2 linked regions of the Caenorhabditis elegans genome follow. The protein of the gene in region 1 interacts with the protein of each later gene in a pairwise test. Each region holds a gene or a part of one and is shown on either strand. Other genes may lie near its edges.

Region 1 (7,887 bases):
TCTTTGCAGGAATTGGGCATTGCACGCACTGAAACAGAAATTTTCGACTATTTTTTTAAGGCAAAGTTACAAATATAATTATAAAAACAAAACAATAGATGACTTGTGACCGTGGGAAGCATAAATAAACAAATATAGCAATAAAATTGAGCAAAAAAATCGGAATGCGCTTCACCACTAAAAAATAAAAGTGAGCAAAATGTGAGTAAGGAGTAGCAATAAAATCGATATGATTCAGTCAATGGAAAATAATTGGACAAACCAGCAAGCATTATGCTCGTTATCAGTGCGTAGAGAAAATTTTTCTCCTGATGGCATTTTAGTGTTTCGAGGTTTACCAAGTCTTATGAGTCTCAATGCTTTCTCCCACACTGCTTACATTGGAGCTCTGAGTTTCCTGACATTCGGAGCTGTACTTTAATGCGGTTGAGAGGTTGATCACGGCTCTATTCTCTTTATTCGTTTTATAAATTGTGAGAAAAAATATAGTGACATACTTTCAAATATTGATAAGGAAAATCAGCACCATAAAGTTATTTCTTTAAGTATATTTTACATCCACATTTTTGTAAACTTGAAATCATTTTATTTAGAATTAGAAAAAATAAAACTGGACCAATTTGGATATTACAAGTTACAAAATTAACATCCAAAAGCCATCTCCATCCACTCCTCCATTGAATATTCCCGATCTCCTACTGGAATTACAATTCCAGATAGTCTTCCAACAGGTGGCCGCTCTTCAAATCCGGTCATTTTTATAATTTTGACACGCGCTTCAATTATGATACTGTCGTTGACCGCATACTTTCTCTCCATATCATCCCATCGAATTAATTTATCATAACCGTAACTAGCAGGCTCGTTAAGCGTGCTTGATGCCGTAAAAGACAATCTTTGGCCATTTGAAGACTTCAATGTTAGAACAAGTTCCACCTCAATAGACCAGTCCTTGCTGTCAAAATGCTTTTTTTCACATTGTAGATACATTCCAAAAAAACCTTCTCTTCTTTGAATTTCTATTCTCCTGAATTTAACAGAGCTATATTGAAATAGTAATTTTAAATAACTAACCAAGGAATATTGTAATGTGTTTCTACGTTGGTAGTATATATACCTCTTTCTTTAATGTTTGAAACATTTTGAACAGTGTGATTCAACATAAAGGTTTTCTGGTTCATTGTTTCAGTGCACGGAGAATCTGAAATCAGTTTTTTAAGACGGATGAAAAAAATTAATCAGAATATGAAAGCATAACCAAAGGTATTTGATTTTTGAATTCAATAATAACTAACCCAAAATGTTTAATATCTTAACATGTGCTTCAACCACGATACTATCATCCACAACATAATCACTTTCCAACTCCTTCCAACTGATAAACTCAAATCCACGCCCTGTCGGCTTTGCAAATGTGTATTTCCAGTTTTTCATCAAACTTTTTCCATTGTGTGACACCAATTTCAATGTAATTTCAGTTTCAATCGACCATTTTCTGTTTTCACATTCTTCCTTTTCGCATCTTAAATACAACTGGAAATTATCATTTGTCTTCTCGATCCTTATCCGCCTAAAACATGCTCCATATTAACTTCAAAAATAGTTTGTTAAACTAACCATGGAATATTGAATCGGTCTTCTAAGTTGGTGTGGTAGCGTTCTCCGTCCACAAATCGTGAGATATTTTTAACATTTTCGCTGATGGAAAACTCTTTGCAAGAATTGGGCATTGTACGTACTGAAAAGGTTGATTTTTGACTACTTTTTTGGGCAAAGTTACTACAGTGCTCCACATAATGATACGGCCACCCCCAAATTTTGGTATAACTCAAAACTGGGTTGAGATAGCAAAACATAGTTTCTTGTGAAAATGTTTGCTATACTAACTTGCTTTCAGATAAGTATTGGAAATATAACTGAACCGTTCGTAAAAAAGATAAACCATTTTTTCATGAAAAACCATATTAAAAAATCCACAAAATGATACGGCCACCCTTGGTTTTTGTTGTCTTTTTCGTTTTCTTTGCAATTTTTTTTGCTAAACGTTAAGTTTCATGTTCGTTTGTGTTTTTACAGCTATGTTGTCGTGGAATAACTTCAACTGACTACGAAAAAGGACAAATTGTGCCAAATTATCTCAAGGCTTCTCGAATCGTCAGATTTTTCGTGATTTGAAACTTTCGAGAGATATGATCACTCGATATGCTTCCAATCCTGCCGCTTATTGCACCAAAAAGTGTTCTGGTCCCCCACCACTTCTTTCTGGTAGAGACAAGCGATATATCGTTCGTCGAGCATCCAATTGAACAGTACCTTGCTCAAAAATTAGGAGCGAGATGAATCTGGCAGTGTCTGTTGAGACCGTACGACATTTTTTTTTTGAAATCTCAGTTTAACAAAAGACGAAAATTAAGAAAGGCTCCTTTCATTACCAAAAAAACCGCCAAAACCATATTCCGTTTGCTTAAAACATCCAGAGAACTAACTGGAGACAAGTGAGGATTACGGTATAATCATTCAAGCCAATTTTTTAGTTTCAGTTCAACTTTTCTTTTCTCAAATCGTGCCAGTAATCACGGTAGCCATCCGGTTTATCACAGTTGAACTTTTTCTCGTCACTGAAGATGAACTGAAACTAAAAAATTGGCTTGAATGATTATACCGTAATCCTCACTTGTCTCCAGTTAGTTCTCTGGATGTTTTAAGCAAACTGAATATGGTTTTGGCGGTTTTTTTGGTAATGAAAGGAGCCTTTCTTAATTTTCGTCTTTTGTTAAACTGAGATTTCAAAAAAAAAATGTCGTACGGTCTCAACAGACACTGCCAGATTCATCTCGCTCCTAATTTTTGAGCAAGGTACTGTTCAATTGGATGCTCGACGAACGATATCTAGCTTGTCTCTACCAGAAAGAAGTGGTGGGGGACCAGAACACTTTTTGGTGCAATAAGCGGCAGGATTGAAAGCATATCGAGTGATCATATCTCTCAAACGTTTCAAATCACGAGAAATCTAACGATGCGAGAAGCCTTGAGATAATTTTGCTCAATTTGTCCTTTTTTGTAGTCATTTAAAGTTATTCCACGACCCATAGCTGTAAAAACACGAACGAACATGAAAACTAACGCTTTGCAAAAAAAAATTGCAAAGAAAACGGAAAAATATAACAAAAACCAAGGGCGGCCGTATCATTTTGTGGATTTTTAAAAATGGTTTTTCATGAAAAAATGGTTTATCTTTTTTACGAACGGTTCAGGTATACTTCCAATACTTATCTGTAAGCTAGTCAGTACAGCGAACATTTTCACAAGAAACTATGTTTTGCTATCTCAACCCAGTTTTGAGTTATATCAAAATTTGGGGGTGGCCGTATCATTATGTGGAGCACTGTACTTGCTTCGGCACTCTCTGAAGACGTCTACAACACTGTCGTAGAAGTCGCAGATTTCCTCAAGGTCTGAGTCCGCAGTTGGAGCATAGACTTGAATCACCGTGCAGTTGAATTTTCGGCTCACTTTGAAGGTGAGTAAGCCGATGCGGTGACTGAGAAATCGTATTTCTACGATTTTGGGAAGGAGGGTGCTTTGAACTATGAAGCCGACCCCTCCGGATACAGAACTTTCATTCCGTTTGCCTAAGAAGACACCGGTACCGTCCTGATGTATCAAGTGTGCTTCGGCTGCTCGTTTGGTTTCACACAATCCGATGACGTCGAATTGGATCCGCCTCGTCTCTTCTAGCAGCTCAGCAAGTCGATCATCCGAAGACAAGGACCTGCAGTTGAATGTGCACACGCGATAGTCAGTTCTTCTTGTTTTGTCCCGCGGCTTCTTAATTTCCAAGTCCGATTGACAGATGGTTTGGACTCCGAGATTAGATCGCCTCTTCCGACGTGCTCCAGGAACTGTCTTTCCCTTTGCAGAGGCCGGATGCGGAGGACTGAGGCAGGGTGGGTTGCTGTTTAGAGCAAAAGTTGTGTCTCTAGATACTCTATAATGACCTGCCAATCTAGAGCCGCCCGGACAGAGAGTATTCGACACTACCTCTGACCTGCGTGAGACGGTGTACTTCTTGGCCAGATAATTTGCACTTGGTTCCAAACCAAGCCACTCTCGATGTGACGAAATCATCGAGTTTGTTGAAGTGGTTATCTGTTGATCCCTTTCGCCACGAAGAGGCTTAGTACAGAAAGAGTATCATAGTAACCAAATATCATAGTAAAACTTTTCGAGAAAAATTGAAAATTTTTTATTTACTGTCAAAAAGGTACAATTACTCAGTTTTGCCATTCATAATTTTGGAAGTCGACCAAAAAAAATTTCCTACGATTTTTATACTTTAATTTTATATTAATTAAGTGTGCCAAAACACTCTAGAGGTCAGAACATGCGACATTGCTTTGGATTTCTTTAAAAACATATATTTTTCAAAAATTTGGCAGTGTGCCAGAACTTTGACTGGAAACTTTGAAAAAATTCAAAATTTTTGGTGCCACTCCACTATTATAATATTTAATATTATAATATTATATATATAATATTATAATATATAATATTATAATATAATATAATATAATATTTGAAAAACAAGTAAGCCATAAAATTCAAAGGAGAATTGTTTTTTTTTTGATAAATGACTTCCAAAAAAAATTTACAAACATTGAGCTTTTTCTAAATTTCAAAAAATCATATAAAATTTAGAATTTGTTAAACATTTTTTACTATAATATTTGCTGAATTTGCCGAGCGTGGCAAATTTGCCGAATTTGCCGAGCCTGGCAAATTTGCCATATTTGCTGAGCTTGGCAAATTTTCCGAATTTGCCGAGCTTGGCATTTTCGCATGATTCGCCGCACACCTCTGTAAAATCAAAAAGTGGAGATATATTGTTTCTAAAATGGAATACCTACGCTCTGGTTGATTTGGCGCCCTACGAGAGCGCCATTCAAGTTTTTTTGAATCACGTGAGTCTTTGAATCTTTCTTCAGGATTGCGGATAAACTTTGCCACGTCTTCATCTTCATCAACCATTGTTGCTTCCAATGCGAACCTTTCTGCTTCCAGCCGCTGCGATTCTTCAATTCTTCTCCGATCAAGTTTAGCCCGAATTTCTTCCTCCTGTTTCTTCTGATTCTTGAATTCCCGCTGAGCTCTTTCAATTTCTTGAAACTGATTTGGAGTGTATCCTATTGTGAGATTCCTATTTTGCGTCTGAGAGCTCATGGGCAGAGGCTTGTATGTTGATTGAGATTCTGTATGTTGATTGAAGTACACTGCTGGGGCTTCCCTTTGGAAAGCTGATTTATACTCACTGGACTGTGGAATTGAAGATGGGATGATTGTTGTTGTTTTACGACGATCTCGACTGTTCATATATCTCGATCGTGACGGTGAAGGACTTCTGTCTAAGTTCGATGATTGCACAGTTGTGAGACGGCTTGTGCCAAGATGTGATTGTTGTATTGGCGGAGTCGTAGTTACTTTCGTGGACGGATTTAGGAATGGATACTGAGAGCTCCTGTAGCTCGTTGGAAATATGCTTGCTTGAGAAGACACGGGCAGAGTTTCACGTACTACAGCTATTTTTGATGGTGCTGTGTGCCCAGAGAAAGATAGTGGTGAAGCAGCCGAGTCTAAGTTTGATGATTGCACAGTTGTGAGATACTTTGTGCCCGAAGTTCCCAGCTGCGATCGTTGATCCACTGTTGAGCCACCACCATAATCAACTGTTAATTGCCTTGATAAACGTTGGTCCAGTGTTGATCCACTTCCATCATCCTCTGCCAAGTGTTTTGACAAACGTGGACTTCTACTTTCAGAATGATGTACACGGGATTCATCTTTGGAACTGCTCGTTTTTTGTTCTTTTCCAGTGTACTGATACTGATAGTGCAATTTTGCACCAGAAACTGAAAATTAATACATTTTAAATTTTATTTATACATATGTCATAAACTCACATGATGTAGATTTTTGAAGATTTGGAGGATGAGTCCGTGGTCCTAAATAGTTTTGATCTTGGTTGGCCATTATGCCTTTTTCTGTAAATGTTAAGAGTAAAAACCGTATTTCGAGTACACTTTTGTGCAAGCAAAATTTTAACAATGAGAACAACAGAGATGCAAGGTTTTTTGTCTAAAAAAATGTTTTCATTTTACCGTTACATTTCAAAACGAGACATGTGTCATTTGAAAAATATATACTGAAGGGTGGTCACTGCAAAATGTTGAGCCTTTAATTTTGATCTAAACATTTTTCAGTACATTTTTTCACTAATTTCGAGGCCTCTATAATTGCACCAGATGCTGAAACTTTTCAAGGACAGGTAAAAATTATGAAAAGTGAGGGATCACCACCAGGCAGTGTACCTGAATCCCAGATCCGCAGTGCATAGCACTTGAAGAACGGATCGTCCTTTAATCCTTTTAATCCTTTGGGGTACTTTTTGGGGGGATCGAAACCCATAAATACCGTTTTTGGATAATTTCTCGCCAGTATGCGGCAAAGAAATTTTCGAAAACTTTCCTAAAATGTTTACCTACCCTTAAATATTTTGAATAACATTGAAAGTTTGCAAAAACACTATTTCAACAAAACCATACAGGCCTCTAAAGTAGTGGAAAAATTCACGGAAAAAATTTGAGATGGAAATTTCGAAAGTTGAGATGAGAGTTTAATTAAAATTATTTCTAATAAAAATGATAATAAAATTAAAATTATTCCTTATACATAAAGCAACAGTATTCCTGTAAAAATAGTGAGAAGAGCGATTGAAGACTAAATCAAGTTGGTTAGAAAAGTCATAATAAACGACTCTTCATGCACAACACACACGCACACAGGCACATATAAAAACTGATAACAGACCGGCGCCACACAAAATGTAAGCGATCGCCTTAAAGTACCGGGTGAAATGAAAATTTGCGAGACTCAGAAAGAGAAAATTGATAAGGTTCGAAACTTGGGAAGACAGTTTAGGCACTGTTTAAACACTTCATTGAGATGTGGGTGGTAAATTGATAATAAAATAGGTGATTCACATTTACATACGCTTGGAAAATACACCACTGAAAAATCAAACAAAAGTGAGAAGTTTAAATGTTTTTTCCAAAAATATGGGGGGGGGGGGGGGTGAATCTTGGTTCAGGGAAAGTAAATCTTTCTAGTCCCAGTATGGCTTAAATTTGGACTAAAAGTACATAAAGGCAGGAGGCTTTGGCTTATCTTTAGGTTTGAAATAATGAGAAATTACTTGAAATCGAGATTGCTTTTAGAAATTTCGGCGGAAAAATAATCGAAATTTTTTTCAGTCATGATTCGTTTGACTTTGTCAAATTTTGCTCTTTGAGCCAAATTTGGCAAATTTTTCACACAAATAGTGCTTAAAACGTGCTTGATTATTCGTAAAACCAAAAAGGGTTCCATGAATTTCCGTACTAAATTCGAAAATCTTGAAGAAACCGAAAGTTTCTAAAAGACCATACCCACAAATTTTCCTAAAATTCACCAAAAAATGTTAGCAACTATGCTCTTTCAGATACCAAACTAAGAATTATACTTAACCGTGCTGTTTTTGAGATATTCAGGCCTTGATCCATGACGGTCAGCCAAAAAATGTGTAAAAATAAAATTAACAAATTATTTTTATTGATTTAATTAAATTAGAGCTTAAACAAAAAACTCTTGTCTCTGAACTTTCACATCCAAAATGCACGTGTTCACATTGTAACTGACCACAATATCCATGAAGTTTTCCTTGTAAAAAGTGACACAGTTATGCCTTATTCTGCAATAGAAAAACCTACAATATACATATCTAACACAAGACAACTTACTCTTTATAAACACGGGTCTGCAACTCAAGTGCCTTAAAAATCGCTTGCTCATTTA
Region 2 (4,882 bases), on another chromosome or scaffold:
CGACACAACTGCTCACTTATCGATATTGTGATAACGTTTGGACGTTTATTCTCAATAATGTCACGTTGAAAGATCCCCAGCGATCGTTTGATGAGCCTATTGATAAGTGAGTGTTTCTTTTATTTGTATTAAAAATAAAAAATCTAGAAAAAAGCAATTGTTTATTAATTTTCTATAAAAATTTTTGTTTCTCGATGATCTATAATTATTAATATTTCAGACTGAAAGTGGTCGCCTGTGATGGTCGTCAAACAAGCCTTCTGCAGACATTGAGCGCCCAGGGACCATCCAAGAGAGTCAATCGAGCTCACGCGGCCGCTGCAGGCGACGATGAAGATGATGACAGTGATTAGATGAACTTTCCAAATCATTGTTTCATTTTCTAATCCAATTTCTTCTCTTACACAAGCTTTCTATTGTATGGGCCCAGCTCATTTCTTTTCTAGATCTCTCACGCTGTCACAGCAAGACCTCCTCTATCTCTCTCAATCCTATAATATATTTTTCGAACGAACAACAATTTATTGATTTGAAAAAATGCAAACAAGGAAAATCTAAACAACAAAACAACTCCCGCAAACACCTCTCCGAATGCATATTGCTCTTGAATCACACGAGATCCGCTTCTGGCAACGCTTGCATTCTTTCTCATCGAGAATGTGCTTTTGAAGATGATCAACCAGACTTTGTGTTGACGAAAAGCTGGTCTTCAAGCATAGATGGCACTTTATTCTGGACTTTTTCGATGGCTTAGGCTTGCGATCCGGATCTTGGGAATATAGTACAGGTGGTTCATCCAAGACATAATTCGTTTCGATCACTTCCTCGGTGATGGGATCTTCGAAATTACCATCATACATCATAATCGGCGGATCCTCTTTCTCATGCACCGCTTCAACTTCTCGATTGTCTCCGGGACGGGTCACGGCATGCCATTCCAGGGAATTTCCACCCTCATCAACGTAGACAACCTCATCGAGAAAATTGGCTTCTCCATTTTGACCGGGAACTGGACGCCAAGATGATCTGAAAAGAAGTGATTAGGAAATCAGAAAAAAATCAAATGCTTAAAGTATATTGTCATTTTTGAAACGATTTGAAAGCCTATTTTAAAAACGCAAACATGTTTCCTCGGCGTGTCTCGCCACGATTTTTGTACTCAAATCTGAATTCAGGTCTTGCCCCGACTGAAACTTTATGGCAACCGTACCCTCCGGTTACGGTAGATTTTCTTTTCTCTTGACAATCGGAGGTTTAAAAAATAAAAATTAAAATTGTGGAAGTGTTTCCCTGTATTACATAGAAAAAATGAATAAAATAATTTTCTCCAACATTATCACTGAAAAACGTTTTAAGAAAAAGTATTGCAAATCTACCGTTGTCATGGGTACGGTAGCTGAAAAATGTTTTGCCAAGACCCATTGATCGAATTTTATCCTGTGAATTCATATTTTTAAAAGAAAAAACATACTTGTAATCGTAGACATTATGAGGTCTACATGCAAAATGATGTCCATTAAATGGATCTCCATTGCTCAAAAATTTATATCCATCGAGATGAATTGTCCGAATGACGTCACGAATTCCACTTTCAGTTTTTGCTTTTCGACAACTCAAACACGCGTAGAATTTCGTATTATTCAAACCATATCGATTAAAATGAAATTCATAATATAAATGTGGTTGAGCAACTGGAGTCATTACTGCAACTTGATGAACATTTCGTGTTTTATGCTTATTAAAAGGCATTCGATAGCGAATTTTGTACTCGACGACTGAAGAATTGTTGGTTGTATCGGTTGATTGCATCATTTCCATTTTATGCTTTACAGCGGGCTCCCATGGAAATGGCTCGGCGAGCCCCGGACGACGTTGTCGATATTTTGGAAGTGCGGTCATTTTCCAGAAGATTCGATCATCGATCTGAAAAGAAATATTAATTCTAAAGAAAAATTCAAAATTCAAAAAACTCGCTTGAAAAATAAAAAATTTCCTGCTATAAACTTTTTTTGTAATATTCAAACTTTTTCACAAATTCAAATTTTCCCAATATCGTTGGACTTGCCTTTTTTGGTTTTTTTTTGTGTTTTTGGCGAAAATGGGTCTTTTGATGTTTTTTTTTGGAGAAACTTTCTTTTTTTTAATTCCGTGCTTTGAGATAATTTTTTTCATGAAATTCGTAGAATTCCAACTAACCATGACAAAAGTGTCGGCTGAGAAGTGATAACAACAGATATATGGTTCTTGTGTTGCACTCTGAAGTACTGTAGCTGGAAGCCGAAAGAAATGTAACCATTGCTCTTTGAGTTCTTCTGATTTTGGCCACTTGAAAAGACGGATTTTTTCGGATTCGGAACGTTGGCAGACGAGACAGGAGGCGCTTGATCCAACTATATTTCGGATTCCTGAAAATTTCAAGGTCATGTTATTTTTTTTTCTGGATTTCCTTTCGCAAAGATTTGAATTTTGTTTCGTTTTTTAGCAATTTTAACCGGATTTTTTAAATAATCAAAATTCCAGTTTTAAATGCACATACTCTTATAATTTTCCTGTTTCTGATTGCCTTCAATTCTGTAAATCTCATGATAAACGAGATCTTCCATTTCATTCTCGTAATAAACTTTTTCAGCTTCAACCATTTCGTGAGCATTGTCTACTTGAACGGCGTTGTGTGGATAGACTTCTGTAAAAATTAATGTTTAATTTGATTTTTCTCAAATTTTAAAAGTTTTTCAAAAGATAAATTGGACCTGGAAGATCAAATTTTCAATTTCCCAAAAAAATGTTTGGAAACTTCAAAACTTGATTTTTTTCAATTTTTCCAGTAGTTCTATAAATAATGAACCTTCGTAGTCAATTTTCATGCTAACAGGAATTTCTTCATGATTGCTCGAAGTTGGCTCCTGATCACTAATATATTCCTGCTGAAACTGCTCGACCGGCTCAATATCCTTTTCATAAATCATCTCGTGTTGCTCCATATCAATCTCAGCTTCTTCCCCATCATCATCCATTTCCTCGTATTCCGACGAATCTCGATCATCCTCATCGTGATCGATTTTCTTAAATTTGAGATTCAATTTTTCAGTTTAAAAAAGTTCTAAGACTTACCTTGCTCATTATCTTTTATCTAGAGATCTGAAATATTTTAAAATTTATTTCCTGTTACTTTCTTTGAGAAGTGGAGATAGCAAGTAGATAAAGACTTGAAAAAACATATTATATTTTTTTGAAAAGTAAAAATGAAATTGTGGTATAAGTGAATTTATTGTGACATCAAGTACATATAATACATTTAAAAAATCCCGCTTCGCATGTTTTTCATCCGTAGGCCGGTGTAATGCTGTACTGAAGCTCCAGAATCTCCTTATCGGTGATTTTCACAGAATAACATCGGGATAGCGTCTGAAAATTTGATTTTTATAAAATTATATCGAGTTTTTCAAATTAAAACTAACCTCAAACGTGGTGTCAGGAGATGGGGCAAATGTGTTATCAATGTACAAGAAGAGTGAGTTGTTGGCTTGAATATTCAGCAGTTTTCGCAATTTCTGGAAGAAAATAATATTATTTTCACATTTTTTAAGAATTTCAATTCTTACCAAGATGAAGGAAGCAACAGTGTCCGTTGGATTCACCACCATTTTCTTATTTTTAAGAACTGGCGCATCTGCGATATTCCTCAGCCTTACGGTCACCTTATCTGACTTTGGTGGTTCGGCGGAAGCTGCAGCGGTGGGTTCCGTATTTCCTGTTGGAGTTGTGGCGGTTTCTGTTTCCATTTTCTGCAAAAAACCCCACTTAAAAAGAAAAAACAAATGGGAATAAAGTATTAGAGCCGAAAAAATTCGAAAAAAAATTTGAATGATAACTACGGTTGCTTTGAAGGAACATACTTAACATTTTGACCTTGGTCTCGCCTGGAATATTGCTATTTTATGGAAAGAACTGGATTTAAGATGTGTTTTTTTAAAAAACAGGGTTTTTAAAATCTAAAAAACTAATTAGCTCGTAAAATTTTAAAAATTCAATAATATTTTACAAAAAAATCTGACACACAAGCATTTATACTTGCTATAGTTTGAAAACTTCAAACGTGAAAAACGCTAGAATGTAAAGGAACACAATCAACTCTGGGAACTTGCGTCTCGACTGGAATTTAAAAAAACCAATTACTATTGTAGTAAAATGGCGGAAGTTTGAATTTCTCTCAGAATATTGAAGAAAATATTTCTTAAACGCTAAAAAAAGGTCGCAGCTGACATATATTTTCTTGCCTCGTTTCTTCGAGTGGTCGTTGACGCGTTTGTCGTGTGCTTTAGAGAAAAGAGACGGAGACGTGCAGACAGGGGGTGCGCAGAAGTTGATAACCCTCTTGTGGACAAAAATAAATCCCTTCTATTTATTTCATAAAGCTCGATTTTCTAAATTTTACTCAGAAAATGTCATAAAATATTGAAAAATGAGCAGTTTTCTCGGGCGACTTCGCCGCAAAAAAGACAAAGAACAAAATGGCAAGTTTCTAAGAAAACCACGTAAGGAATCGATAATCTAATTGAAAAAATTTAGGTCATACTGCCACGTCATCTGACGGAGCTTATCAAAATGGGAATGCTCATAGAGATTCACTTGTAAATGATCATATTTGTATTCCAGCACAGAGAAATTCATTAACAGTTGCTCAACAATCAGCGGATATCGGTGAGTTGATTGTAACTTCTGAGAACACATTTTAAAAATTCTGAAAAACTCGAAAAAATATGAAGTAACCCAATACTAGTTGATAAGTAGGAAAACATTTATAACAGGGCGAAATTGATCAAGAGTCTCGCGTCGTACCCCCGCCCACAAAAGAGGCGTGGCCCAGAGTCAGAGAAAATTG

The links. Proteins that work in one complex are often made in the same cells at the same time.
Region 2: the proteins of math-41 (region 1) and B0336.7 interact in a two-hybrid assay, tested with the Caenorhabditis elegans proteins (one large-scale study listed by BioGRID).

Annotation. Positions count from the first base shown.
Region 1 is NC_003280.10:1,822,780-1,830,666, reverse strand, and holds math-41 (MATH domain-containing protein), read right to left. Parts: upstream 6,039-7,887; 5' UTR 6,028-6,038; coding exon 5,958-6,027; intron 5,907-5,957; coding exon 4,908-5,906; intron 4,858-4,907; coding exon 4,720-4,857; intron 1,739-4,719; coding exon 1,618-1,738; intron 1,571-1,617; coding exon 1,296-1,570; intron 1,202-1,295; coding exon 1,075-1,201; intron 1,028-1,074; coding exon 643-1,027; 3' UTR 439-642; downstream 1-438. Other genes in the region: math-40 (MATH domain-containing protein), read right to left, coding at 1-20; fbxc-19 (F-box domain-containing protein), read right to left, coding at 7,666-7,783, 7,833-7,887.
Region 2 is NC_003281.10:5,694,229-5,699,110, forward strand, and holds B0336.7 (THAP-type domain-containing protein), read right to left. Parts: upstream 3,139-4,882; 5' UTR 3,121-3,138; coding exon 3,112-3,120; intron 3,066-3,111; exon of another isoform or gene 3,063-3,065; coding exon 2,846-3,062; intron 2,684-2,845; coding exon 2,537-2,683; intron 2,406-2,536; coding exon 2,197-2,405; intron 1,924-2,196; coding exon 1,472-1,923; intron 1,027-1,471; coding exon 555-1,026; 3' UTR 501-554; downstream 1-500. Other genes in the region: B0336.13 (Transcription initiation factor IIA small chain homolog), read left to right, coding at 1-106, 221-353; lgg-3 (Ubiquitin-like protein atg-12), read right to left, coding at 3,322-3,405, 3,459-3,551, 3,603-3,782; Regulator of G-protein signaling rgs-5, read left to right, coding at 4,463-4,514, 4,570-4,701.